Rattus norvegicus: one gene and its partners. The protein of the gene in region 2 purifies or fractionates together with the protein of the main gene of each other region. This does not show direct contact. Links are inferred from orthologs where the notes say so. Each region holds a gene or a part of one and is shown on either strand. Other genes may lie near its edges.

Region 1 (3,939 bases), on a different chromosome or scaffold from region 2:
GTGGTACACACCTTTAATTCCAGTACTCGGGAGGCAGAGGAAGGTGTATCTACAAGTTTGAAGCTAGCCTAGTCTAAAGAGTGAACTCCACTCTCTTGCTCTCCCTCCTTACTCCTCTCTCCCCATTCCCCTCACCCTTCTCTCTCCATGTGCTCATGGCTGGCATCCCTCAACTCTATCTCTGCCTTTCTCGGTCTCTGCTACCCTCTCAACTCCCCTCCCATGCCCTGAATAAACTCTACAATATACTGTTGACTGTTGTGTGGCTGGTCCCTCAGGGGAAGGAATGTCTCCGCATGAGCCTGCAGAGGCACCCCCTCCCCCCACACCATTCCCTCACACCATATCTCTCCTCCACCAAACATATTCCTTCTCTCCTTATTTTTATAAAACACACGCACAAAAAAGGCATACTCTGTGCTGTGTTTTATAAAAAGATAAGAGAGGAAGGAATATTAAAAAAAAAAAAAAAAAAAGCGTGAACTCCAGGACAGTCAGGGCTACACAGAAGAAATCCTGTCTCAAAACAACAAAAAGGTTCTTGGGACTGAGCTGTTCATAGAAGAGTGTTCACCTAACATGCATAAGACCACCTCACCCCCCCACAAAAAAACAGTGACTCTAGGGCTGGAGGGATGGCTCAGTAGTTAAGAGCACTGACTGCTCTTCCAAAGGTCCTGAGTACAAGTCCCAGCAACCACATCTATAATGAGATCTGATGCCCTCTTCTGTGTGTCTGAAGACAGCTACACTGTACTCAAACAAAATAAAAATAAAAATATTCCCAAGAAAATGGGTAAAAAGGAGAACATGACCGCAGCACTGAACCCTACAACAAATAAACTGCTCCAAGCTGGGGATAACTGTACCGAGGCTGCAGCTTCAGGTGCTCTGTGTGATGGATGGTCTACTCTTGAACCTTCTGTGAGCCTAAGACTTAAGCTTCAAGAAGGCTTCCCACTGCAGTATACAGATGTGTACCGGAATGTGAGCTCTGCTTCAAAGATTCCTTGATACAGTTTTTTTTTTTTTTCTATTCTTTCGGAGCTGGGGACCGAACCCAGGGCCTTTTGATACAGTTTTTAAAAGGCTTTCTAACAGAAACAACAGACCAAGTGACAAGAGTAGACCTTCTGTGCAGAAGTTTGGAAACTCAGGCAAATTCTAAAATACACCCAAAGAATTTGAGGAAACACAGGAGTCTTGTCTGTACCTGGTGGCCTCCACCTCGGCTCCCTTTGACCTCACAGGCTGCAAACTGCCTTCTACAATGCTAAGAGCGTACAGAGCTCAAGGACTCTTGCACAGAGTACTATAAAAAGAGCTACAAGAAAGAGTACAGCAAAGTAGACACCGCCCCCATATGAAACCTCCCAGGAGGAGTAGCAGGAAGAACATCAGAGAAACTGCACCAGAAGAAGCTGCAGAGCTGAGGGAAAGCAGTTACTCCCTTCAGCAGTGCAACTGCAACAACTTCCTACAGTTTACAGGCCATCCCGTGACTGGGAAGTGAGTTAGTGCTCCTCCAATGGAGCGCTCCTAAGACATGCAAACATCACTGGCCATCATGATCCCTCAGCCATCAGTGTAAGGAGAAATCACGATGCACAGCCTAGCTTTGAGACTAAACCTGACACCTCACACAGACCCCACGGGAGACTAAGAGGAGACAACACCAAAAGAGACCAAAGCCTCAGTCTTCAATCCTAGGAAGGAACAGTAACACCCACCACACAGGGCACAGGTGTAGCCTGCTCCACCAAGGTCAAATTCTGCTGTAGCTCAAGCCCAGGTGCAAGGATCCAACTAGGGGTAGGTCCCCTGCCTGGGTCCCTCCACAAAGCAAAGCTCTTGTGCCCAGGAAATACCAGCTGCTTGGTGTTTTTAGCTTTTTGGAGACAGGGTCTTGCTATGCACCAGTATTCAAAATCCTGCCTCAATAGCCGCAGTATGGTTGGTGTAACAGGCATAAATCAACTCCCAGGCCTGACCTGAAGCTGCTTAACGCAACTATATGGCCATGAGTTCCCAGAGCCAACATGTTTGTGGATCATACAGGTAGCAAGAGGAGCTGAGAAGATGTTAAGTAATGAGATAGAAAGTCCTACCACATCTCCCTGCTTCAGGGAAATAAAAGGCCAAGGGAGCAGGGCAGATCTCTGGGGTAGGAAGTCTCGAGGAACTAAGCAGTGTCTTTTAGCATATAAAGAGATTCACCTAGCCTCGGGTGAATGGCCTTGCAAAACAAGCACGAGGATACCCAACCCTGCCCATCCCATCCCACCCTTTATAAACTGATTCTTTCAGGAAGCCAAATATTAACATATGAAGACACTGGGTGTGCACCACACTTTGATCCCAGCTCTAATAAGTTCACAGCCCCAAACAACCAACCAAAAAAAAAAAAAAAAAAAAAAAAAAAAGGAAAAAGAAAAGAAAGAACATTAGCATTAGCCAATCTACCTCGCAGCATTCAGGAGGTTCGGGAATTCATAGTTAAATGTGAAGCCAGCACCAACCTGAAACCGTCTCAAAGGAAACCAATTTCCAATTCCACTGGGTAGAGTCCAAGACAGAGAGCACTCAGGTGTTCTGTTTTAAGGTCACCGGAAAGCAGGACTTGAAGAGGACAGCTCTGGGAGGGAGGTGTGTTAAGCAGGATCCTCAGCAGGTGGTTTGGAGCTGGCCTCCACGGCCCACAAAGGAGGCAGTTAACTGGCAACCGCAGCTTTACACTACAGGGAACGTGATCATGGAAGGGCAGCAGCCATCAGTCTCCCTCCAATCAAATGCAGATTCCTTGTTTCCGCCTTAGACACTGAGTACACAAGTATGGGAAGACAGAATGGTCCAGTCACTCAGGTGAGTGCAGTAGGTAACCCAACAAAGAGCTCCAACCCATCCTCTCTGGACTACTGGATACCCCTAGGTCCTAGTACCATTGGCTTCACACCACTGTACTCTCAACTGCCTGGCTGACCCAGACAGTGCTCAAAACCCACTTGACCAGTCAGCCCTCGTCAGGTAGAAACTTGCACTAGGACACGGGTGAAGGTTGTGGTGGCAGCACGAAAGCGCCAAGTGGCCAAGGAAACCTGAGAGATGCTAGCTGGGTGTCCCCACTCCCAGGGACGCCAGCCTGAGGTGTGAGCCACGAGGAGCTCGCAGGGCTACGGGTCTAGGGGCGCAGCAGGGGCCGCAGTGGAAGTAGCGAGCCGTGGCGGCCACAAGGGGCGGCGGGGTCGGGGCGCGGCCACAAATGCGGCGCCGGGCCCGGCCGGAGGCCCACGGAACACGTGCGGCGCTGTGGATCCCGAAGCCCGTGGGCCCTCGTGGTCGCCGCCCCCCTCGCGCCCGCAGGACCGGGTCACTCCCTTACCTGCCGGGGCCGGGGCGGCGGGGCCGGGCGCTCTGGCGTCGCCTCGGCTGGCCCTGCGCGCGAGAGCAGACGATCTGGTGGACCAGTCGGCCGCGGCGCGGGAGGCGGGAGGGATTGCGCGTGCGCGAGGGGGCGGGGCAACGGGCGGCGACGAGGGTCAGAAAAATTAGAGGAGACGGAGCGCCTTAAAGGGCCCACCTATGATTCTTGCTTCCTATTTGACCGCCACTAATTTTCAGTGCCTGCAGACCGGAACTCTCTGCAGTTAAAGATGGGTAAAAATGTGCTTATGTGCCTTTCCTGTTAAATTCCAGGCTATGTCGCCAAGCTAATAGCAGCTTGCCTGTCGTGGCCTGTGCCTGCCCTGGACTCTAGGAAACCCTCTTGGTGCCACTGGTGGACGTCCACGAGGTCCGGAAGTCCGGAGCGCCTGCGGTCTCCCCTGCCTACCGCAGGGCGGGGGCTTCCTGCCACTGCAAACCACAGCTCAAATTGAACATACTTGCCTCTCTTCTAAGCTGGGCCACAAAGAGACTCTGCTGTGCACCCCCACACTCAGA
Region 2 (3,500 bases):
TAGTCCAGAGTTCTACTTGCCAAGCTCTCAGAAACAATGTCTGCAATTGGCCTGCACCTGGGAAGAAGCATTTTTGCCCAACTGCACTGACAACTGCCCAGTACTTTTCTTTTTTTCTGTTGAAACAGGGTCTCATGTAGCTCAGGCTAGCCTTCACATTATAATGTAGCTCAGACTGGTCTTGAGCTCCTAATCTTTTTGCAATGGCCTCCAAAGTTCTGGATGAGAGGGAGAGGTGTGCCCCACCACTCTGGATAATAAATACAGCTCTGTATGATGTAGGACCATGAATTATAATGCATATGAACCAAGGCCAGTCAAGGAACAGGACAAAAGCAGGCCTGCTTTCACAAAACCAACATTCCTTGGCAGCTGACTAAAGCTACAATGAAAAGCACAGACTTTTGGAAGGGGAAGCCCGGAAGACAAAGGCCGCGCTCTAACCTGTGGTCTCACCTGCCGAAATAACTCCTGCTGTTTCAATCGCAGCCTCTCCTTCTCCATCTGTAGCTGCTGCAGCTGTATCTGCTGCTGCTGGTTTGAGCTGCCTCCACCCAGGACGCCTCCCTGTGGGCTCTGGGGAGCCAAGGGTGGGGGCTGCTTCACTGGAGCACTCTGAGTGATCCTCTGGTTCATGGCTGAAATGAAACAAAGACTGTCCTGAAAAACTCAAGCATGCAAGGGGATAGCCAGTCAGCTAGAAATCCCTGAGAAGCTACCATAGATGTGATGACTGTGACCCATGTCCATCACAACTGTTACAGATCCCGAAGGCAAAAGGAACTTGGGTAGCATCAGAGAACAGGAACCAAAGTGGCAAGCTATACAAATAGAGTTAAAGGGCCTGCAAAATGCTCAGCGGGTAAAGGTACTTGCTACCTAAGCCATATAACATGAGGTGAATCCATGGAGGCCACATATAACACAGAATTCAATAGCATACATCTGTAATCCTAGCACTCCTGCTGTGAGATAGAAGGCAGAAGCAGAATCCTCCGGAAGCTGGTGGGTTCAGAGAGAGAGGCCTTTCACACAGAACCTTCAGGGAGGCACACACACACAACCAAACCACATTAAAACAAAATCGGAGAGACTTTCTACAAAGGCTACGAATCAAATCATCAGCTCATCAATGACCACTTTCTGAAGAGAACTCGACCAACAAAATAACCAATCCTGACTACTAATTATTCCCATGCAGTAAATGTGCTAGAGTGACCTGGAGTGTGCCCCTTCCCACAGAGCCTGCAAGCAGTTTATTGTTGTTGGGTTTGCTGTAGTTTTCTTGGCCTGGTTGTCTTTGGTTTAGGCAGGGTTACATTCTATAGCACAGGCTGGGCTGTCACTCACCGCAGCTCCAGCCTACCTCAGTCTGTAGTGAGCCTCCTGCCTCAGTTTCCCCAGTGCTGGGATTGCAGAAACAAAACATCACTCCCAGCCCAATTTGTTTTCACCAAGTATGTTTTTTAGTAACTCACTTAATCTATTATTACCAACGACGACGACAATCTAGTGTAAAACGCAGTCATTTTCTGTTTTTTAATACAGGAAATGCTTATGAGACTTAGGCTGTGTTTTGATGCTTGTATCTCATAATCCCAGAACTTCTCAAAATGAAAGGTCATTTTCTAATAACACTATTCATCCATTTATTGAATAGTTTTTAGATTAATTTTATTTTTGTTTTGTCTGCATCTATGTCAGTGTGCCACATGTGTCCTGTGCCTGTGGAGGCAGAACAGGGCACTGACACCCCCCACCCTCCACCCCCGGAACTGGGACTGCTGATGGTTGCGAGGCAGTGTGGACGCTCGGAATCACACTTGGTCCTCTGGAGAGCGGCAGGCGCTCTCACCCCGTGTCATCTGTCCAACCACTTGTACTCCTTCAATTAATTATAACTAAAGACACTTTTCTTCCCAGTGGGTGTTTGCTCTTGGCCTCAGTTCTTAAAAATAGTTGTTAAGATTATCTTGGGGTACACATACATACTGAGGTTACAGGGGAACTTGTAGGAGTTGATTGTCCTTATATGTGCTTCAGAGATCAGACTCAGGTCATCAGGTTCTGTAGTAAACACCTTTCCCCCTGAGCCATCTTGCTGTCTGAGGCCTGGGTTTTGACTGTACACAGTGCTTCTCACAACAGTCCTCAGGTCGTGCTCAGCTTCTGCTGTGCTGCTTCTCACGGTAGTATTCACGGAATGTAGAAATGTACTTCCTGTTCTCTTGGAGAGCCTGTAACATGCCTCAAAGGAAGGATCCACTGGTTAACTCTGCCACCCATCTTTGTGCCTTTATAGAAAAGATGAAATCTTTGGGAATTACAGAAAATCTTAGAAACAGTGAACAGTTTGATCAAGTGGGAAAATGGAGAAGGAGCGTATATATAAAGGAGCCAGTGTTTACAAAGCACTCTTTTTAGGAAGGGAAAGGTATGGTTTTTATACAGCACATATGGAAACAAATTGAACAGAGTGACTTACTGAGTCGGTGTTCTCATCCGTATTCTTCCCCATTGATTGGCGATTGGAGGTAGGTGTGAGGAGGTGTGAGCTACACAGAACCTGTCTATTACCTATGTTGGTGAAAATAATTTTATTAAGTAAGGTATTGGAGCTTGGCAAATCTTCAAGCTATTAGCTTCTTTCTTGTCCATGCCCCAGGAAAACGTTTAAATAATTCTCTTTTTAGAGGATTTTAAAAAGGTATCTATATATACCTGGCTGTAAGTGTACATGTGTGTACAGGATATAGGAAGACTTACAAGGTCCTCTGGAACTGCAGTTAAAGTTGTTGTGAGCCGCCACAGTAGGTACTGGGACTGAACCCAGTTTCTCTGGAAGAGCCGTGACTGCTAAGCCAGGTCTCTAGGCCCCCATTTATCCTTAAAGGAGTGTTCTGTTGTGTGGGAGGTGAGCTGGCTTGAGGAAGGCTGGGGTAGTTGATTGTGCTTTGAGCTTCTTTCTCTGTTCCCAAGACAACATAGTAAACAAGATAACTAAGAGCACATCACTGGGACACATCCCCACTGGATGGAAGGTAAAAGGAAGAAAAAAGGAAAACGTTGTTGGAATCTGCTAGGTGGAAAGGCTAGATCCCCTTGCAGACCACTAACGTGTATTAAGATGATGAGGAACTGAGAGGTTTGGGCAGTGTTATCATGGCTTTGTGTGAGTGTACCCCAAGACACTGTATGCATGATAAATATAATCTTAACAACTATTTTTAAGAACTGAGGCCAAGAGCAAACACCCACTGGGAAGAAAAGTGTCTTTAGTTATAATTAATTGAAGGAGTACAAGTGGTTGGACAGATGACACGGGGTGAGAGCGCCTGCCGCTCTCCAGAGGACCAAGTGTGATTCCGAGCGTCCACACTGCCTCGCAACCATCAGCAGTCCCAGTTCCGGGGGTGGAGGGTGGGGGGTGTCAGTGCCCTGTTCTGCCTCCACAGGCACAGGACACATGTGGCACACTGACATAGATGCAGACAAAACAA
Region 3 (4,227 bases), on a different chromosome or scaffold from region 2:
TCTACTGATTCCCTTTTCTTACACCAAATCACAGGAGTGCTTCCTATTTCCTTCCCTCATCTAGTGTCTGAAAGGGGCCAGTCACCACATGGCTTTTCTACAACACGACACTCAATAGCCAACAAGGCCAGGCTTTGGTCAAAAATCTTCATCATTCAAACCCCAAGTATGGTTTAACTTGTCATTTATTTGGAAATACAATCTTATTTGCAAATCCCTTTTTAAAATGACTTAGAAACGAATCAAAAAGCTTCCCCATACCTCCTTTTTTTGGGGGGTTGGGGGTATCATATTTACATAAAGCCTAAATTACCAGAATGTAATTTCACATTTCCTCCCAAGAACACAAGGGGGGGGGGGGCTCTTCTGGAAGGTGAGAGGTGAAACCTCCACTACAGCCAACTCTCCTGGTTCAAAACACACTACAGATAAGGCTCACCTGGAGCTGCAGTAGTATTCCCCGTCCCACCTCCTCCAGCTCCCAACCGGAGCCTAGTTCAGTACAAACTTAAATCTGCAAGACAGGGGTTGGGGATTTAGCTCAGTGGTAGAGCGCTTGCCTAGGAAGCGCAAGGCCCTGGGTTCGGTCCCCAGCTCCGAAAAAAAAGAACCAAAAAAAAAAAAAAAATCTGCAAGACAAAATTTAGTTCATCATCTTTCCTAAATTGGAGGTTTTGAAGCCTGCTGTTCTACTTTCCAAATGCTGGAACAGTGGTGACTTTGGCAAAGACGTATGACTAGTTCAAAAGTCACCACAGGAGAAACTGGCATTCAAGGAAAAAGGGCCTGACCTAGCATTTGAGAAGCAAATGGTTTAACTTGGAAAAAACATGAGGAACACTTAATTCCAAAACTTGTCTCATTCGACCCTACCACTCCCTAAACATTAAACTCACAGGACCCAGTCTTAGTGTTCATTCCTTTAATCTCGGGGGGGAGGGGGGGAGCCTGGGAGGGGGAGGGTGTCAGGAGAGATGGATCTCTGGGAGTTCAAGACCAGTCTGGTCTACATAGCATGTTTCAGAACAGCCAGAGCTACACAGCAATTAATTAAATCACAGGAACCATGTGTGTGACTTTTCATTTTTAAAGACTAGCTTAACGGCCTATTGCCTAACTCCAGTTATCTAGTTACAAAATTAGAATTTTGTACCTAGGCTACACAAGCACAGTAGATGTCAATGAAATTCTCAAAAATGACTGAATTCAAATTAGCAGGCGCTAAGGATGTAGCTAAGTTGAGAGGAGAGCACTCATCTAGCACATACTAGGGCCTACGTTCCATCACCGGGAGGTGAGGGGGGTGTCAAATGAACAAAGAGTAACTACTGAAATTTGTACATAAAACCATTCACTTAAAATAGATAAAACAGAGCTGTGGTGTAGCACAATATTTGAGCACTTGTCTTGCCTGCATGCAACCCTGGGATCGAGCCTCACTCATGGAACAATGAAATCATAAAACAGAAAGAAAAAGAAAAAAAAACTACAATCTTCTACATTCCTAATTCAAAATCCCCAAGCCCCAACTGAGTGCTCAAAATAGGTAAGGATCCCCAAGCCAAGCAAGAACATGCATTCCAAACTTAGGTTGTCAACCAAACGTGTTACTAAACGTTATTTGAATTAACTATTTCTCAACAGGTCTATGTTTCATAATGCTAAGTGTGAATAGTAAAGTCTTCAATTTTACAAACGGGTAAACTGAGGCACTGGCACTGCAAAGGGCAATCAGTACTAAGGAGTCAAGGCAAGCCTTGGCCTCCTGTATTCTTATCCATCAGAACTCCATGCTTGTGAAGGTTGGGGGTTGGGGGGCCAAACGCAGGAACTTTGGGATATCCGGGGTAAGAACAAACGGAGCATGAGTGAGGTTGTGCACCTCCCCGGAAGAAGGTGAGGCCGAAAACCTCCCCAAACCCTCAAATCCAAGGTGTGTCGGCCAAAGGGAAGAAATCCAATCGCAGCATCTCAGCTTGCCTCCACCCAAGGATAGTCTGCAGTGATTTCCAAACACTCCACCCTCACCAAAGACTACTCTCCACCACCGGCCCAAAGAAGCCGTCCGCTCCGGAGGCTTCTCCTTTGTGAGGCTCCACAGCCGCCGCCCCACACTGGGCCTCCGGGGAAAAGCCACCGCCCCCACCCGCCATATTTCCCTGAAAGGCGCCGGAGCTACAGCTCCTAGATTCCGCCCTCTCCCGAGTGACCCGTGCTATTTCTCACACCACCCCACCCAATTGTCCTCCACACCCCGCCGCAATCCCGAAACCTCCCGTGGGGATTGCACGGCGGGAGACGGCACTCGCCATCTCCTCCCCCTCCCCCGCCCGGGGACTCGCCCTCCCCCTCCAGCCGCCATTTTACAACCAACTCCTCCACCCTACACCCCGGCCTGCTGGCTGGCGAGCGTCTGCAACCTAAGGACACCGGAGGGGTCAAATTCCTAGGCCCGGAGACTCCCACCGCTTCGGGAGCCCGCAGGCCATTTCCTGCTTCCCGACCCACGTCCCAAGCCAGGCTCGGAGACGATGCCGCCATTTTGTCTCCGGTTCCCGGCCTCTGTGGGCGGCGGCGGAGGGTCCGAGACTTCCAGCCCCCCGACACCCCCACAACTCACCGTCGTATCGCTCGGCCTGCTCTGCCAGCTTCGCCTGGTACACCAGATCCTCCCGATCATCCATAGCGGCAGCGGCTCCGGCAGGGTCTGCACGACGGATGGAAGCGGATAGCGTCTCCGACTCTCTCAGCTTCTCGCTCCGCGTCCGAGCAGTAAAAATGGCGGCGCCTCAATCCGGGACTTCCGCCTGCGCACGCGGACAACTGCTCAGCTCTATGGCAACCGCTCCCTGGCAACTGGCGCGGGGGGGCGGGTCCGGGAGTTCGGCGCCAGAAAAGGCTGGAACCTGCACGACGGACGCCCCTCCTCCGTCAGCTCAGCGGGCGACTCTGCGGCGAGGCGGGAACTGCGACTGCGACAGAGAGCGGCCCCTGGAGCGGCTGGAGGCAGGTCGGCTTAGACTGCGGGAGGGGAGTAAACCAGAAGCCTGTGCTAGGCAACCGCGGGCTGGCCTGTGGGCGACAGAGCAAGAGGCTTTATGAATTCTTGCTACGGCAGGCCTTCCTCATTGAGATCAACCTGCCCTGTGCACTCTAGCACATTTTTCTCATCCGTGTGCCCTTTTCAGGTCCTTTGAACCCCTAGGTAAAGAATTGAGAAATGAAGAAGGGAGAGCTCGAGTTTTCACGCATCACCATCTCTCTTGCTCACACACTGTAAGCACTTTCTTCTCCCCCTCCAGCTGTATTTTTATCTCTTTGGCCTATCATAGATAGGACTTTTGTTAAAAAGCCTCTGTTTTTGACTCATGTGCGTTGGTGCGTGCGTTTAATCCCAACACTAAGGAGGTAGAGGCAGGAGGATCGAGTTTGGATCCAGCCTCATCTACAAAGCAAATTCCAGGTCAGCCTGGGCTACATTGTAAAAAACCCCCATCTCAAAAATAAACAAACCACACAGAAAGGAAAGAGAAAGAAAAAGTGATCAATCTAAACTAATTAAGGGAAACCCTCACTAGAGGGAAAAAAGACAAGAAAGTGGCTTGCCTCATTCGGAGTGCAAGGTGCACCTGAGTAAGGGCAAATTGATGTGGATGAGTTAGAAATAAAGAATTCTCGCCGGGGCTGGGGATTTAGCTCAGTGGTAGAGCGCTTACCTAGGAAGCGCAAGGCCCTGGGTTCGGTCCCCAGCTCCGAAAAAAAAAAGAAAAAAAAAAAAAAAAAAAAAAGAAATAAAGAATTCTCAATGGGAATTGCTTCATTTGCAATGGCCATGCCTATTCTGCTTCCCAATGGATTTTCAACATCTTATACTCAATATCTGCTTGCTGCTGAGCCATGCAAGAAAAGGGCCTCAAAGTGTGAAATAGAAAGGTTGGGACCAAATTACCGTAGGCCTGAGGTCACAAGCTGAGAGGCTTGCATCTTAGCCTATGAACCGACAGGAATTGTCTTGTTCAAGTGCGGAGACTGACCCCAGAGCCTCGAGCATGAGCTTTACCACTGAGTTATAGTCCTAGCCGGGTAAGCCGTGTTTTGATGATTCTGAGTGGAAGATGACATCATCATAATTATACTTAAGAAAAGTATTACATATTTGCTGAAGTAGTGATTCACGCCTATAATTCCAGCACTGTGGAACCAGAAACAGAGGGATTGCCACAAGTT
Region 4 (2,825 bases), on a different chromosome or scaffold from region 2:
ACCTGGTGAGGTGGGTGGGAACATCATGAGTAAGCGGTCTCCGGTACAGAAGAAGATGCCTAGCAACATTGTCAGGGATCCTGGGACTCAGCCCTGGATCCTTTCTCCAACACTGTCTTTCCCTGGCACCTCTGTGTCCACACTGTCCCCCGGATATTCCAGATCCCCATCTAGGCTTGAGCCCAGCACTCCGGGTGCCCTCCTCCCAGTGTGACCCTCTTTCCACTCTACTTCTCTAGGTGGCGGGTGGTGGAAGGCAGCAGGTGTCTCACCTGGCAGCCATGTCCTCCCTCCACCCACAACTCCTACTAGTGGCTTCCTTCACATCCCTGGGCAGTAAGCCCCAGGCATGGGGTCCACAGTATACTCTTCCCAGTGATCATGAAGCTTCCACAGCCCCAGGATGAAAAAGCTTAGCCCCAAGGATGACATTTTAAACCCGCATCCTCCTCCTACCTCAAGTCCCACTATTCCTGATGCGAACGGGGAGGCGCACAGCACACAGCTACATACAGGTTTATTGTGACACCAGAGTGAACTGGGGCTAGGAGGCTAGCACCTGTGAGTGACGGTGGTGGTGGTGGAGGAAGTGTGGGAAAGGGGACTGTGAGGAGGGAGCCCCAGGATCTGGCCAGGAGCCAAGGCTAGGACAATGGCTGCCAGCCCCACCCAGAAAGGTCGAGGGAGAGAGAGCTCTCTCATTTTATCACCCTTCTGGCAGAGTAGGGTGGCAGTAGTGTGAGGAGGTGCTCATACGTGGGAGAAGGCATGGCTCTTGCACAGGGGCTTGTCCTTCTTGGAGTAGAAGGTCTTTCCTTCCAAGTTGATTTGACATATCTGAGGACAAAGACGGTCCAGTCGCACGAGGCTGGGGAGGGTGGAGGAGAGCCCTTCCCCAAGCTCTCTGATATCCCACAGGCAGTGGTACAGGTATGGGGTGGTAAGGAACAGGGGACACAGAGTGGGAGGGGGAGAGGAGGGAGGTGCTTACTGCGCAAACAAAACACGTATCATGCCAGCTGAAACCCAGGGCTTCCAGGAAACGGTCCCCGGCATCGATCTTGAAGTCACAGCCGCGACACTTTGTGCCAAACATCTTCTCGTAATCTGGTAACAGGGACAGAAAAAAGGGTCTGCACCCGCAGGCGCCCCCACCGCCCCGCCCAGTCCCCCCCTCCAGTCCTTCTGCCTTCTCTAGGCCCCGCCTCACCTCGCTCGCAGTAGGGAGCCCCCTCCTCCATGTAGAAAGCCCTGTTGCGGATAGGGGTTTTGCAGGCTGCACAGGTGAAGCAGGGAACATGCCAGGTCATCTTCAGCGCATGCATGATCTCCTGGAAGAGGCCACAGTCGGGTTCAGCCCATCCCGTCCCTGAGAACAGGGGAAGGCTGGCACGCCCCCCCCAACTGCTGTAAAACATTCCATCTCCATATGCACAGATCCCAGAGCTGCATGGGCAACCACAAGTTCCTTAGCATCAGGTCTCCAAGACTTCCCTTCTCAGACCTGCTCCTCCCACAGCCAACAGTCAAGACCTCTCCATCTGCTCAGACCAAAACCCACCACTTTTCTTTCTTTTGTTTTCTTTCTTTTTTTTTTTTTTTTTTTTTTTTGAGGTAGTCTCTTCTAGCTCTGGCTGGCTTTGAACCCCTGATGCTGGTGCTCCTCACTCCACTGCTGAGCTTTTCAGGTCTGTGCCACCGTGACTCAACACTCCCTCTCTCCCCCATATCCTTTAATCAATCAGTAAGTATCGAAGGGTCCAACTTCAAGACGCATCTGGCCAGGTGACAGCTTAAAAGCCTGCAGGGTAGAGTTCAAACTTGGCCCACGTAACTTATGAAGGTCGTGTCTTTAAAAGGCCTGTGCAGGACCCAGCAGTCTGCCCTGTTCTCCCCCACACCTCCACCCACCATCGCTCACATGTTCACACCCGTGTGCTCTCTGCTCACCCAGATAGATCTTCTCAACCTTAAGGCTTAAGTGTCTGTATAATTGTCACTTTCTCCACAGGGCCCACTCTGACACCAGTGACTACTTTTTTTTTTTCTTCTTTTTTCTTTTTTTTTCGGAGCTGGGGACCGAACCCAGGGCCTTGCGCTTCCTAGGTAAGCGCTCTACCACTGAGCTAAATCCCCAGCCCCACCAGTGACTACTTTAAGCCACGTCTCCCTCCCCTCCCCACCTCCAATCCTTCCTAGATGTAGGAGACATGAAGCGTCCACTGCTCTATGAATGGATCTATTCCAACAGTGCCTAGCCCGCTGTGGGTCCTCGGTGGATCTGGCTCTACTGGAGGAAGCAGAGGTTCAGGAGATGACCTCTCCCCAGGGAAAAACAGCCATTCCTGGAACTCATAAAGGTCACCAGGGCTGGAGACTGTATGGGGCACCTGGCAACAGCCTTATCCTCTTGTAAAGCCTAACTACCTATCTTAGGACTCTAGTACTCCAATCCTGGGCCGTTTCCAAAATAGCCCAGGTTTGCAGTCAGGGACCCAGGTGGGGTATTCGGTGGGCCCAAGTGGAGCCTGCCTCACTTGAGGATTACAGGTTCACTCCAAATGACTAGAATACTTAGGTTGAAACCTTTTGTTTTTCCTGGTGCTGGTGACACCTCATAGACGCTAGGTAAGCCCTGAACCATCCAGCTACACCTAGTTTGGATTTGTAAAACATGCTACTGACTCAGAAGACAAGCGTGGCCATGCCAAACATAATCTTGGGGGGCATCCTAGCTCTGGGATGAACCTGGATGTCATTCCCCTCCCCCACAACCCCAAGAGCAGCTCCTTGAAGCTCATCCGACCAGCCTTCAGCTCCTAACT
Region 5 (3,500 bases), about 120 Mb from region 2:
AAGGAGCTGTGGTGGTGGCACCAGAGTGGATTCCAGAATCCAGGTAAGATTGCTGCTGCCAGTGGCTGACAGCGGCCTTTCTGTCTGGCTCCATGGCCATGTCCAACTCCATGAGGTCAGCTGCAAAACAGTGTTAATGCACTGAGAATGCTGCCTGAGTACGACGTCAGCGACGGGACCCGCTGTGACCTGCTGAACACTTAGAAAGGCAACCGTGGGGAGCAGGGTGATGCCAGTGTGAGCCCCATGGAACAGGTATGAACTTGGACTCCAGAGTCACCCACCCACTAGATCCCATTGGGTGGCTTGTTGATTATGTCACCAAGCCAGTAGCCAGTGTGCAAGAGCAGCAGGGGCTGAGGCAGACCCCACCCCACACAGCAGGAAGGAAGCAAATCTTCGTTGAGGAGATTCACAAACCTTGAGTAGCCATTGTCCACAAAGCGGTGTCACAGCAGTTGTGCGCTGAGCTTCAGATACCCTGAAAAGATTCCGTCATCACAATTCAAGTCGTCACAGTTCAAGTCGTCACAAGTCAAGCTTGATTTTTAACCTGTCACTGTGATTCTGCTGCCTGTTTAGGCTCTGGCTCCTCCCACCCACACCTCACCCAAGTCAGTTCATCATGGCATCCACTGAAAATTCAGACGAGCCACAGTTCCATCACCACTGGGCTCTTCTCAGCAGAAACAGAGTGTGGACACAGGTGCTGCTAGAGAATGGCCTCTCTCTAGTGAAAGCCAAGAGAGCACTAGTTAAAATCCAGCTGCACCACCAACCCTGAAGGCTGTGCATGGGTTCAGGATGCCTGGAAATCCCAGCCAGGAGGCAGTAGATTTTTTTTTTTTTAAAGAAAAACCACCAAATTTTTATTAAATAAACCCACGGTTTTTCCTGATATAGCACAATTACCAGATCAGAATGGTGGTTTATGCAGCTTATTGAAGAAGCAGAATATCTTTAAGTCAAAGTCTGAAGTACAAATGGAAGTCCCTTGTGATGAGGTTTGCCTAAGTTCGCACAATGTTGTCCGTGCCACGTCAGCTGGTATAGACAGACGCCCCTGCCATCAACAGTGGGACGTCTTCCACTGGCGAATGTTAGCCTAAGTTATGTCTTCACTTTGACCTTACTATACAATATTCAAGAACACTACTAAGTTACCAAGGATGAAATGGGAGCTTAAGGCTCACGACCTCTAGTACTCTGTGAACAGACTCTTATTATTTTTTTTTTTCTTTTTTCTTTTTTTCGGAGCTGGGGACCGAACCCAGGCCCTTGCCTAGCAAGTGCTCTACCACTGAGCTAAATCCCCAACCCCCAGACTCTATTATTAATGTCTGCCCCAGCAGGCAGCACTACAGCTAACAACAGCAGCAAATGGATAAAGACACAGAAAGGACCTCTAGGTATGGCTACATTTTCAATTCATGCAATGGTGTTTTTCAACATTTAATGAAGTGAGAAACCCCACCATTGACCGATGTTTAAGTAGAGAGAACACACCGATCTTTTCCTGTTTTCTGAGAAACTGTTCACTCTGAAGCCCAGGCTGGCACTCTGCCATGCTCACCCTCCTGAGCTGGGATCACATCTGGATTCCATCACTCCTCCGAGGCTAATGTAAGCAAGCTCAGGTTGGGCCCTTGCTTCAGGGTCCACAGTACAAAGTGACACTTAGCTGTCAAAGGAGGGGACCACTACCTCAGAGCCTTCTACCCTAAAGTGAAAAACAGAAAAGTTCTGTACAGTGAGCACAGCTCTCCATCTTTAACCAACAATGATGCCCACTCCTGTGTGGAAAAGGGGTGTGGCCTTGCTTTGCTGCCTTCCCCAGCCCTCAGGAAAGTGCAGGCTCACTGCAGTTTTGCAGAGGGGACTTGAACCCTGTATGTATCTAGCACTTCCCTCATGTGGCCAACACAGACAGGCCTGGAGACTAGGCGGTGCCACCACCACATACAGGCAGAGCCCTGTCCCTGCTTCCTCCTTAGTGTTGCGGGACCCAAACACTCACCATCTTGCCTGGTGTATAAGCTGACCTGGTTATTTGGAAGACAATATATAATAATTTTATGTGGGAAAAGATCATGTTCTAAACTCAGTATCTGCAGATGTTAGAGTCCTGAACACAAAATCCATTAGCATCCAGTGTTAGCACCTAACAAAGCACCCTATGCAGTACATAAGAATCATCCCTGCTTCTCACAGAGGCCCTGTAGGGTAGAGGAGGAGGGTAGGGAGGTGGGTGGAGGGCAAATGTCAGCAACAGGGAGATGAAAACAGGATGAAAGAGAGCTGACAGCTTTAAGTAGCAATATGCAGGTCAAAGAAAGATCCAAAAATGCAAGAATTCTAAGCATTATTTACCAAAACAGCAGCACGGCCCTGGGAAGTCCACCCAGAAGTGCAGCAGGGAAGGCCTGGCCTCAAAGGAAACTTTTCCTCAGCAGAGGCTTCAAGCCAAAGGCTGCTTTCTCCCTTCTAGGCACACCCTGCCGATTTCTTAAGGGACCAACCTCATAATTCCTGGGAATCAATGCTTTCTAACTGCCACTGTGGGAGATTCTTCAATGTCAAAAGAAAAAGGTCAAGAAAAGCAAACTCAGTAAAAACAGACAGTGCTTTTAAAATGGGGGGAAGGGATGCCACAAATACTTTAACCTGGTACCCCCATGAAACTTAGAACCAAAAATGTTAGGTTAAATATTAACCAAAGTTGCAAAATCCTCCTGAAACACTGAGGGAGAGACCTCAAACATAAGAGAGGAAAATGGTAATGGATCCAGGAACCAAGTCAAGGTGTTTCAGAAAACCAACCACAGTATGAGGAGGACCTGTGTAAGTGTTCATCCAGGTGGCAGTAACCAGTGACAGACACTGCTGTGTCTGCAGTCTCTAGGCAGGGCACATGTGGGACTCACAGTTTCTCTCGCATCTCCTTACCCAGTCTAAGGAATCTGTACAATTTCTCTTTGGTTTTTTTTTTTTTCCTTCTTGCTCTCTAAATGTATTTTCCAGTTATCTATGAGCTCAAAGATCACGTGACTTTATCTGTAAATTCCTCTTGTAGAACTAGTATAGATTTACATTAAGGTTCCTTTCCAAGTTCCCATCAGGGATAAAATTGCCTTATTCACCTTATAAGAATTTTGAATTAGTATTAACTATGATTAAGATCACTGCATAAAGCACACACATTATAGAACCACACACCAACAATTCACTTTCTAAAAAATGTGTACTAGAACAAATCCAATTATTTAAAGAAAACACTACTCTAACTATGGAATGTCATAACCTTTGGATTTATCTCTAGGAGTTAAAAATTGCTTATGGTCTAAGAAGAAATTTACTGCTACAGTGCTGCACGTCGGCCATTTTAACCACGAGCACCAGGACACAGTGAAGACCACAGAAGAACTGAGCCCTGCCTCCTGCTCTTGAGTGGTCAGTCAGTCCTTCCTCGTGTGCTTCTTTTACTACAAGAACACATTAAC
Region 6 (4,300 bases), on a different chromosome or scaffold from region 2:
CGTCAGCTTATGTGATTTCACAGACGAGTCCTTAATGCTAAGATACTTGCTGAGTCAATCTTCTGTTTCAACAGGATTGATTCATATTAAGTAATGGTTTTGAGTAGCACAGATTGGAAGTCTTGATTAAAGTAGCAGAGATCAAGGACACTGAGACTCTCTTTTCATCTCTCCACTCGCTCTCTCCCACCCTCCCTCCCTCCTGCCCAGTGGTCGAGATACTCAGTAAGTGCATGCTTTGTCCTTCCCTAAACTTTCTTTAACCATTTCACAAAATTGGCGCATGTATTGAGGACACCGCACTAGGCGGTTATGCTGAGCCCTGTCAGAGTGTAACCTTGAAGGGAGGTCTGAGCCTCACCAACATTATGGGATGGGGAAACATGCGACGTGATGATAACCTGGAACAATTGTCCACGCCTCGCCTGTAATTAGTCTGGTGTAGGAGGCTCGAGTTAAGTTCTCTAACCTGTCCTAAGGTACTGTTTGGAGGAGGGGGAGGCAGGGAAGGTGAGACTCACTTCTAGAAGAGAAAGCCTGGTTAGAATGTGAAAAAGAGCCCCCATGCTCTAGAAGGTGGCCTTGATTTAACTCTTAAACTTGGTCAGATCTTGGAAACTTTAATATACAATAGTCATTAAGAGTGTCACAGAACTTTAAGACCCACTGCTACTCCTGTATGATAGAGCAAGGACATTTCAACACTTTCTTTGTGACAGATCTGCCTCCAGGTCTGAAATGTTTCTTAACTGCACGCTGCCGCCGCCCCCAAGTAATCTCTCCACAGAACAATAGCTTTAACGTAGGTTTTTCTTGTTTCTCAGTGACATTTCCTTTGTGAACTGTGTATATAATGTGGACTATCCTGAGATATGGTGCACTCTAGTTGTAGTTATTTTCTGCCTCCTAAAGGCAAAGCTTTTAATAGTAATGCTTATGCCCACTATTGAAATTACAAATTAATCTATGATTATTCCATTGCATAAATTGTAACTGAGATGACCTACTTTTGATTGCTGTAGGAGTCATTATAGCAATTTCTCTTTATTTTAAAAGTAAAACCTGAAGTAAATTTCTTTACCCTTTAAGAGACCACCTTCCTTCTTTTAGGTTAAATTATTTCTCTTTGAATTAAGCTAAGACAAGTCCTGTCCTAGGACCCAGTTAAGATGTGTGAAGGAGGAGGAGGAGTAATGGGAACTCCAATCGCTAGTTTGAAGATTCTGCAGCCAAGGATTTATTTAAAAGCCAAAAAGCCAGTCTTTAAAATCTGCTGTGTAGTTTGGACATGTTGGATATCATAAAGAGAATCATGTAAGTGGACATTTTACTGCACTCGCATGACAGTTGATGAGGATTGAAACATTTACATATGTGAATCAGCACTTGCAGAAAATTTAATATTAAGAGACTGCATTATGTTTGTTTTGTTTTAAAAGTCCAGCATGATTTCGTCGGCATGGCTCTTTTAAATCCTTCAGGGTATCCTTGTGGAGTTTATTTTTCATGAGACTAAAAACGGTATTCATTTTGGTAGGTCTAAGAATGTGCTCAAAAGAATCTTAGAGGTTTCAGTGTTTGCTGTATGTTGTAGCAAGTTCCATGTGGGAGCAATAGTGTGCAGATATAAAATTAAACGTAAACTTATTAGAAAAGTTCACCTTCATGCACATTCAGTGTCCTGAGCACTGAAGATCTTTTCAGAACAGCTCTGGTGTCCTGGGAATGCCTCTCTTCTGGTTGCATGTCTGATTCAGTCACAGAAGATTGTTAGAAACTGGCTTATAGAGATATCTAAAGACATAGTTTCAAGCCGTAGAGAGAATTCTTTCAGTGGAGCGGCTGAAAAGGCTAACTTTCCTTCAGGTTTACTCCTGTGTCATACACGGTAGACCACAATGTTTCAATAATTCTGTGGTCTGCTATTTTGTAAAATTGCTTCCTTTTGGAAATTTGTTTCAATACAGGGAGCTGCCGAGTCAATAACTTAACAATACTTTGATTAATTCAACATCCAGTTTTATTCTAGGGAAGTTCATGAGAATATTAAGCTTTCACTGTTTTTAACATCCTTATTTCTGTTACACTGGAAAACATTTTGATTAACATGAGCTCATTTAATTTTGTCTATTTCAAGCCATTACCCTGAGAGTTAGTTACACATGCCAAGTACTAATATTTACAGCAATTTCACTTTTCAATTTCTAGTGAGAGAAAATAGCATCATCATGATCTTTCACACACTGTGACCTAGGAGAGCTCGCAGCACACTACCCTTGTACCTTCACACTCAACAGGTTCACAGAAAAAAAGGACTTAAAATAAGGTAGCACTTACCCCAAAAGAAGTTTTGCTGACACGGTGTCACTGCACTGAAGAGGCTGTTTGACGCCATAGTCCCTCCTTTTTTTTCCAGATAGAACTTGTGCCCTCTGTTGTAAATACTGCTTGCAGCCTTAAACTGAAAATACAAACCATACCCAGTCCCTGTTTTAGTTGTACAGTATGCCTGGAGTACATAGACTTTATATTTATTTTTTTCTGTCAAGAAATTATGTAGCTGGTAACATGTGAAAAGCAAGGAAACAAAACAAAAAGGAGTGAGCAAACATTTGAAGGACCTACTATTACTGCATGGACTGTGCTCAGAGCACTCACTGACTCGGTTGGTCTCGGTGGCTGGTAGTGACCTGCAGAGATTAACCATTTAAACACCAGGGCCTCCTTGCTGTCCTCCTGGAGAAAGTTTGCACCGCACTTGTGGTTCTGTGGTTGTTTGTGAGGCGAATGAAGCATTCACACAATCCAAAAAAGCAAAAGCTTTAAAACTCCTATTTTTTGCAAGCACTATTACTGGAGAGACAGAATCATGTGGTTTGTGACCTCACAGTACTCAAAGTAAAGTGGGACTGCCTACCACTGTGGCTTCCCCCTTTCTCTCTCCCCTCCCTCTTTCTCAATCTTTTTCCTTCTCCCCTCCCCTCCCTCTTTCTCTTCTGTTGTCCTCTCCCTTCCCTTCCTTCTGTCTCTTTACTTATGGGTGCTCTCTCTCCCTTCCTCCCTTCCTCTCTCTCTCCCTTCCTCCCCCTCCCTTTCTCCCTCTCTGACAAAAGGCTTGTGGTGAGGCCTTCCTGGCATTCAGAAGGTTATAGCTTTTTAATTTTTGTGACTCATGAGGATTTGGATAGAATACAAATGCTGAAGGAGCCCACACTCCTGTAAGGTTAAGCACTTGGAGAGCAGAACTCTGCAGCTAAGGGTTTTCCTTTCTACCACCTCCCTACTCCCCCCTTCCCTCCTTCCCTCGTCTGCTCTTTCTTCTCTTTTCTCTACCCCTCCTCTCTTTCCTTCATTATTATGTCTATGGAAAAGTGAGCAAAACTGTTTCAAGTGAGTGCGGCGTTCTGAACAACTGCTGCTTCGCAGTGGGTCACATCTTGGGATTGTATCACTTTCAGGGCTGCTTCGGATTTCCCAGGGTGGCTGCTTCTTTCCTGCTTGTCTTCCTAAGCTTGTAGATCTGTAACTCATTGTAAAACAGTTTACCTTTCCAAAGGTCTGCTTGCAAACTCCTTGCCGGGATTGACTGTAATTGGCTGTCACAAAAGTGTTAGCCTGGGGATTCCTTTACAAATACTAAATCATGACTGTGTAGTTGATTTTTTTATTAGGTGGTAGCTCTTACAATAAAGATTAAATGTAATTAGTATCATTTATATTATTTTTACCATCATCCCTTGGTTACTTTGAAGATCTTAAAAAACAAACAAACAAACAAAAAAAACCCCAAAAAAAACAAATGTCAAGACCTGCAGGATACAGGTTGTTGGAATAGTGTTAATTTTCTGCATGACTGGATTTTATCTCTAAAAGAAACGTTTTGTATGATTCTTTAGTCCGCTTGGAAGTGACTGTAACAGGACTTTGGGCTTCAGCTCTGCATATATAATGAGATATTCAGTAGTTTCCATAGTTCAGAATAGAGTGGGTTAACAGAAACTGTATTTTTTTGTTTATAATGGAAGCTTTGAAATAAATTACAAAATGCTGTGTGTAGTAAGGAATAATGCACGCAGACAGAGTATGTTAGTCGTCTCGATTTGCTAATTCTGATTCAGAAGAAAATTGAAACCATCTTTGGGAAACTATCTCTTCTTTTGCCCTCTTGGACATGTATGTCTAGAGCTCATTTTCTTATTAGGATGATTATATATCATAGGCAGTGAATTTCACATTTATGAATAGAGCTTCCTGTTTTCATCAGTTGGGAGCGATGGAGGATTTTTCAACAAACATTATA
Region 7 (3,500 bases), on a different chromosome or scaffold from region 2:
CTTACGTGCCCTGTGCACTAAGTGTTAGCAATAAGAGAATTACCTACAAGGCCAAGCCCATCCTCTTGGGAAGGAAGCATGTATGAACTTGAAGAACAAGAGTAGGGATAGGTTTCTACTGAGTTAGCATAGGTTTTCTGGAACAGCCATAAATTAAGCAGATCAGTGGCCTGCTGTTTCCCAGCTCTGAAGCCTGGGAGTGGGACTGGGAAAATTTGTAGGCAAATGTGGAGTGTGCGTTCCAGATGAAATGCTAGGTGCTTGTATTCCCACTTGGTGAATGCTAGAGAAGAAAGAACAGGCACTGGGGTGTGAGGGGTAGGAGTAGAGGATTCAGTTTTGAGAGCCCTGAAGGTAATCTTGCCTTTGCTCCGGTGTCGGAGCACTGGGATAGAGTCCTGGGATGACACGTATGCATCATGCATGAAAGAGAGCGCTCTAATCCCAGCACTGCACTAGGAGTTTCGTTAGGTGTGAATGTTTGTGTTGTTTGTGTAAGTAGAGCAGGGGAGGAGCACCCTGGAGGAGTCTTTGAGGGATGAGCTATGGTCCTAGAGAAGGGACCAGGAGTGCAGGGGCCTGAGGGCTCAGCACAGGGTGGGTTGGCCAGTGGCCTCAGTAAGTTTGTAGTGAACACACTGAGGAAATGGCGTGTAGTTGATGTTGTAAGAGACCTTGGAAGCTAGCAAATTCTGACCAGTGTTGGCTCTAATGTAGGTCCTGGGCCCTTAGGACCTACCAGCTTTGGAAGCATGTCTGTGTCTGTCTTACTGGAGACGCTAAAGGTTCATCAGCGTCAAAAGCGGGCTGGGGCTGGAGGGTGGAAAGTATAGTTCCAGGGTGAGGACCCCACAAAGCAGACTCGGCTGCTGGTGAGAAAAAACAGCACTGTGGCTGAGGTGTCCTTAGGGGCTGTGAGAGACGCAATTGAAGTCCCTGGTCCTCTGCAGCTGTTGTTTCCTGTGGGGATCCCCAGAGCAGTGATTGGACAAGGACCTGGGCTTGGGATCAATCAGAGAAGAGGGAAAATGGTTCCCCTCTCCCTATCTCCCTGTGTGTGAGAGATTGACGGTGCAGGGAGAGGCAGGGCATAACCTTCAGATGTCAGTTTTCCCTTCCTCTGAGGGATCCTGGGTGCAGGATCCCAGGATTCTGCAACAGGTGTTGTTGTTGTTGTTGTTGTTGTTGTTGGTGGTGGTGGTGGTGGTGGTGGTGGTGGTGGTGGTGGTGGTGGTGGTGGTGGAAGAGGTGGTGGTGGTGGTGGTGGAGGTGGAGGTAGAGGTGGAGGTGGTGGTGGTGGTGGTGGTGGTGGTGGTGGTGGTCCACCAGTCTGAGCCACCTCACCTGCTCAGATCTGTGGCAGTCCTCAGGCCCCTCCCACATTCGAGGTTTATAGCGGTGAGCCCTGTATCCAGGCGACCACACACTCTCCTCGCATTCAGGGGCAGGAGGGTCCTGGCACAGGTCTGTGCTGGCCGATGCGTTCATGCTTGCTTTACTGAGTTCTTTCTCTTTAAAAGACTTTGGAGAAAAGTGCTCAGTTTTGATGATGTGTGGGATTTTCTTCCCAGATCAAGGCCGTTTGCCTCTAATTCCTTCTATAAGACCTTTTTTTCTGTGTAGAGGTTTAAATTTAGAATGTAGCCATTTTCTTAGGGTTTCTGAAATGCGTGTGTCTGTTATAAAAGGCTTTGTCATTCTAAGATTGTAAGAAAACCCAATATACATATTTCTTCCTTGGGTGCTTTAAATTTCTTTAGTTCACCTCTTGATCCAAGCTGTTATTGGCTGTGCCTCTCAGGAAAGCAGTTGGCAGATTTTGGTATATCTGTCATTGAACTTTAAGATCTGGAAGGTTTCTTGGTCATTGTACCTACCAGTGACCTTAGCCAGAAGGAAGAAAGGAGCTGGAAGCCGGGGTGGTGAAGGTTGACTGGTTTGTAGAGGTGCAGGTGTGGTGGGGCATGTGTTTCTCATTTACAAAAAGGAGTGTGAGACACAAGTGAACACTTTTTTGGAGTCTCCTACTCTGTCCTGTCTAAACCACACAGCCACCTTCCGGTGGCTGGCCTAGAGCCCTCCAGCAGGCACAGCCCCACCCAGTCAGGATGCCTGAGGCCTAAACAGCTGCAGAGAATTGATTCTGGAGCATAAACAGCTGCAGAGAACTGATTCTAGAGCCTAAACAGCCACAGAGAACTGGTTCTAGAGCCTAAACAGCTGCAGAGAACTGATTCTAGAGCCTAAACAGCCGCAGAGAACTGGTTCTAGAGCCTAAACAGCCTCAGAGAACTGGTTCTAGAGCCTAAACAGCCTCAGAGAACTGGTTCTAGAGCCTAAACAGCCACAGAGAACTGATTCTAGAGCCATTCCCGTTGGGTTTTCTCTTTCTCCTTCTTTTTTAAAGGCAAGGTCTTTTGTGGCCTGGCCTGGCCTTGAATTCTGTCATTGCCACAGATTCTACAACTGCTCTTGAGCAAGTCAGCCCATCCCAGTGTTTAAGCCACTCCTCCCCCAAGCCTAACTACCCCCTTGAGCAGCCCAAACTTCATTCACCTCCCTTTTCTGAGCAGAGATAAAATAGTTCTGTTCCCTCAGCTTTTAACTACTCCACACTCGTTCCTCCATCCCAGGCTTGTGCACAGTAAAGGCAGCATGGGCCTCACACAGACTCTGAAGCTCACAGCTCTCCCTCCCTCCCTTCCTGTGCGTTCTCGTCTCAAGAACCATTTTCCTTTCAGCAGGTCTTGCCTTCCATTCTGCTTACTTATTCAGCCAGCCAGCATTTACAAACTGTCTTCCTTCCATGTGCCTGCCCGAGGGACTCAAGGAGTGAAACTGGGTCCTGCATCTTCACTTTAGTGTCTCAGTGTCCAGTGGAAGAAGTGATTGGAACAGGGCGGAGTGTTAGACCTGCCTATCCTGTTTCCTTCTCACATACCTGAGGCCGGAACCTACATCTCTCTCTGATAAGGGATGCAGCTTAGAGGATGCAGGCCAGACTACAGACATTGCTGGTTTTCCTTTGGAATTCACCCACGAGGCAAGGCAGCATACAGGAATGTTAGTGTGTACAGAGTTGACTAGGGCATGAGTCTGCTCACACTAAGGTACTGTCAGGATGGGCTGTCCTCTGGCTCTAGGTCCTTATCGGGACACCAGCTATAGAAAGATGGATCAGATGCCTAGAGCCAGCGAGCTCTTGCTATAGTTGGAGTGTACTGACCAGGTACTGCTCTCAAATGCTCTAGTCCACGTTACCCTACAGCGTGCAAAGAAGCCAGACCTGCCTGTGAGGGGGCATTCATGCCCACCAGGAACGCAACAGAGGCCTCAGGTACATTACAGAACAACAATATGAACCCTGGTATTGTCTTCCTCTGCCCAGGACTGTGAAGGCCTTATCGTCCGGTCAGCTACTAAGGTCACTGCTGATGTCATCAATGCAGCAGAGAAGCTCCAGGTGGTGGGCAGGGCTGGTACAGGCGTGGACAATGTGG

The links.
Region 1: the proteins of Yap1 (region 2) and Wdr5 purify together in Homo sapiens (affinity purification with mass spectrometry; 3 studies listed by BioGRID, with this or other methods). This does not show direct contact. The link is inferred for Rattus norvegicus from reciprocal best matches to the Homo sapiens genes YAP1 and WDR5.
Region 3: the proteins of Yap1 (region 2) and Ywhae purify together in Homo sapiens (affinity purification with mass spectrometry; 8 studies listed by BioGRID and IntAct, with this or other methods). This does not show direct contact. The link is inferred for Rattus norvegicus from reciprocal best matches to the Homo sapiens genes YAP1 and YWHAE.
Region 4: the proteins of Yap1 (region 2) and Pdlim7 purify together in Homo sapiens (affinity purification with mass spectrometry; 3 studies listed by BioGRID and IntAct, with this or other methods). This does not show direct contact. The link is inferred for Rattus norvegicus from reciprocal best matches to the Homo sapiens genes YAP1 and PDLIM7.
Region 5: the proteins of Yap1 (region 2) and Ctnnb1 purify together in Homo sapiens (co-immunoprecipitation; 11 studies listed by BioGRID and IntAct, with this or other methods). This does not show direct contact. The link is inferred for Rattus norvegicus from reciprocal best matches to the Homo sapiens genes YAP1 and CTNNB1.
Region 6: the proteins of Yap1 (region 2) and Runx2 purify together in Homo sapiens (affinity purification with western blotting; 4 studies listed by BioGRID and IntAct, with this or other methods). This does not show direct contact. The link is inferred for Rattus norvegicus from reciprocal best matches to the Homo sapiens genes YAP1 and RUNX2.
Region 7: the proteins of Yap1 (region 2) and Phgdh purify together in Homo sapiens (affinity purification with mass spectrometry, with the first as the bait; 4 studies listed by BioGRID). This does not show direct contact. The link is inferred for Rattus norvegicus from reciprocal best matches to the Homo sapiens genes YAP1 and PHGDH.

The regions. Positions count from the first base shown.
Region 1 is NC_086021.1:31,234,607-31,238,545, reverse strand, and holds the start of Wdr5 (WD repeat-containing protein 5), read right to left. Parts: upstream 2,801-3,939; 5' UTR 2,520-2,800; intron 1-2,519.
Region 2 is NC_086026.1:13,399,438-13,402,937, forward strand, and holds part of Yap1 (transcriptional coactivator YAP1 2), read right to left. Parts: intron 639-3,500; coding exon 457-638; coding exon of another isoform or gene 445-456; intron 1-444. UniProt on the Homo sapiens protein: Transcriptional regulator with dual roles as a coactivator and corepressor. Critical downstream regulatory target in the Hippo signaling pathway, crucial for organ size control and tumor suppression by restricting proliferation and promoting apoptosis.
Region 3 is NC_086028.1:61,081,507-61,085,733, reverse strand, and holds the start of Ywhae (14-3-3 protein epsilon), read right to left. Parts: upstream 2,801-4,227; 5' UTR 2,685-2,800; coding exon 2,621-2,684; intron 1-2,620. UniProt on the Homo sapiens protein: Adapter protein implicated in the regulation of a large spectrum of both general and specialized signaling pathways. Binds to a large number of partners, usually by recognition of a phosphoserine or phosphothreonine motif.
Region 4 is NC_086035.1:9,142,632-9,145,456, reverse strand, and holds the end of Pdlim7 (PDZ and LIM domain protein 7), read right to left. Parts: exon of another isoform or gene 1,565-2,825; intron 1,332-1,564; coding exon 1,211-1,331; intron 1,108-1,210; coding exon 992-1,107; intron 838-991; coding exon 751-837; 3' UTR 501-750; downstream 1-500. UniProt on the Homo sapiens protein: May function as a scaffold on which the coordinated assembly of proteins can occur. May play a role as an adapter that, via its PDZ domain, localizes LIM-binding proteins to actin filaments of both skeletal muscle and nonmuscle tissues.
Region 5 is NC_086026.1:129,531,076-129,534,575, reverse strand, and holds part of Ctnnb1 (catenin beta-1), read right to left. Parts: intron 482-3,500; 5' UTR 434-481; coding exon 421-433; intron 121-420; coding exon 1-120. UniProt on the Homo sapiens protein: Key downstream component of the canonical Wnt signaling pathway.
Region 6 is NC_086027.1:23,663,558-23,667,857, reverse strand, and holds the start of Runx2 (runt-related transcription factor 2), read right to left. Parts: upstream 2,801-4,300; 5' UTR 2,797-2,800; coding exon of another isoform or gene 2,396-2,796; coding exon 2,338-2,395; intron 1-2,337. UniProt on the Homo sapiens protein: Transcription factor involved in osteoblastic differentiation and skeletal morphogenesis. Essential for the maturation of osteoblasts and both intramembranous and endochondral ossification.
Region 7 is NC_086020.1:188,618,290-188,621,789, reverse strand, and holds part of Phgdh (D-3-phosphoglycerate dehydrogenase), read left to right. Parts: intron 1-3,388; coding exon 3,389-3,500. UniProt on the Homo sapiens protein: Catalyzes the reversible oxidation of 3-phospho-D-glycerate to 3-phosphonooxypyruvate, the first step of the phosphorylated L-serine biosynthesis pathway.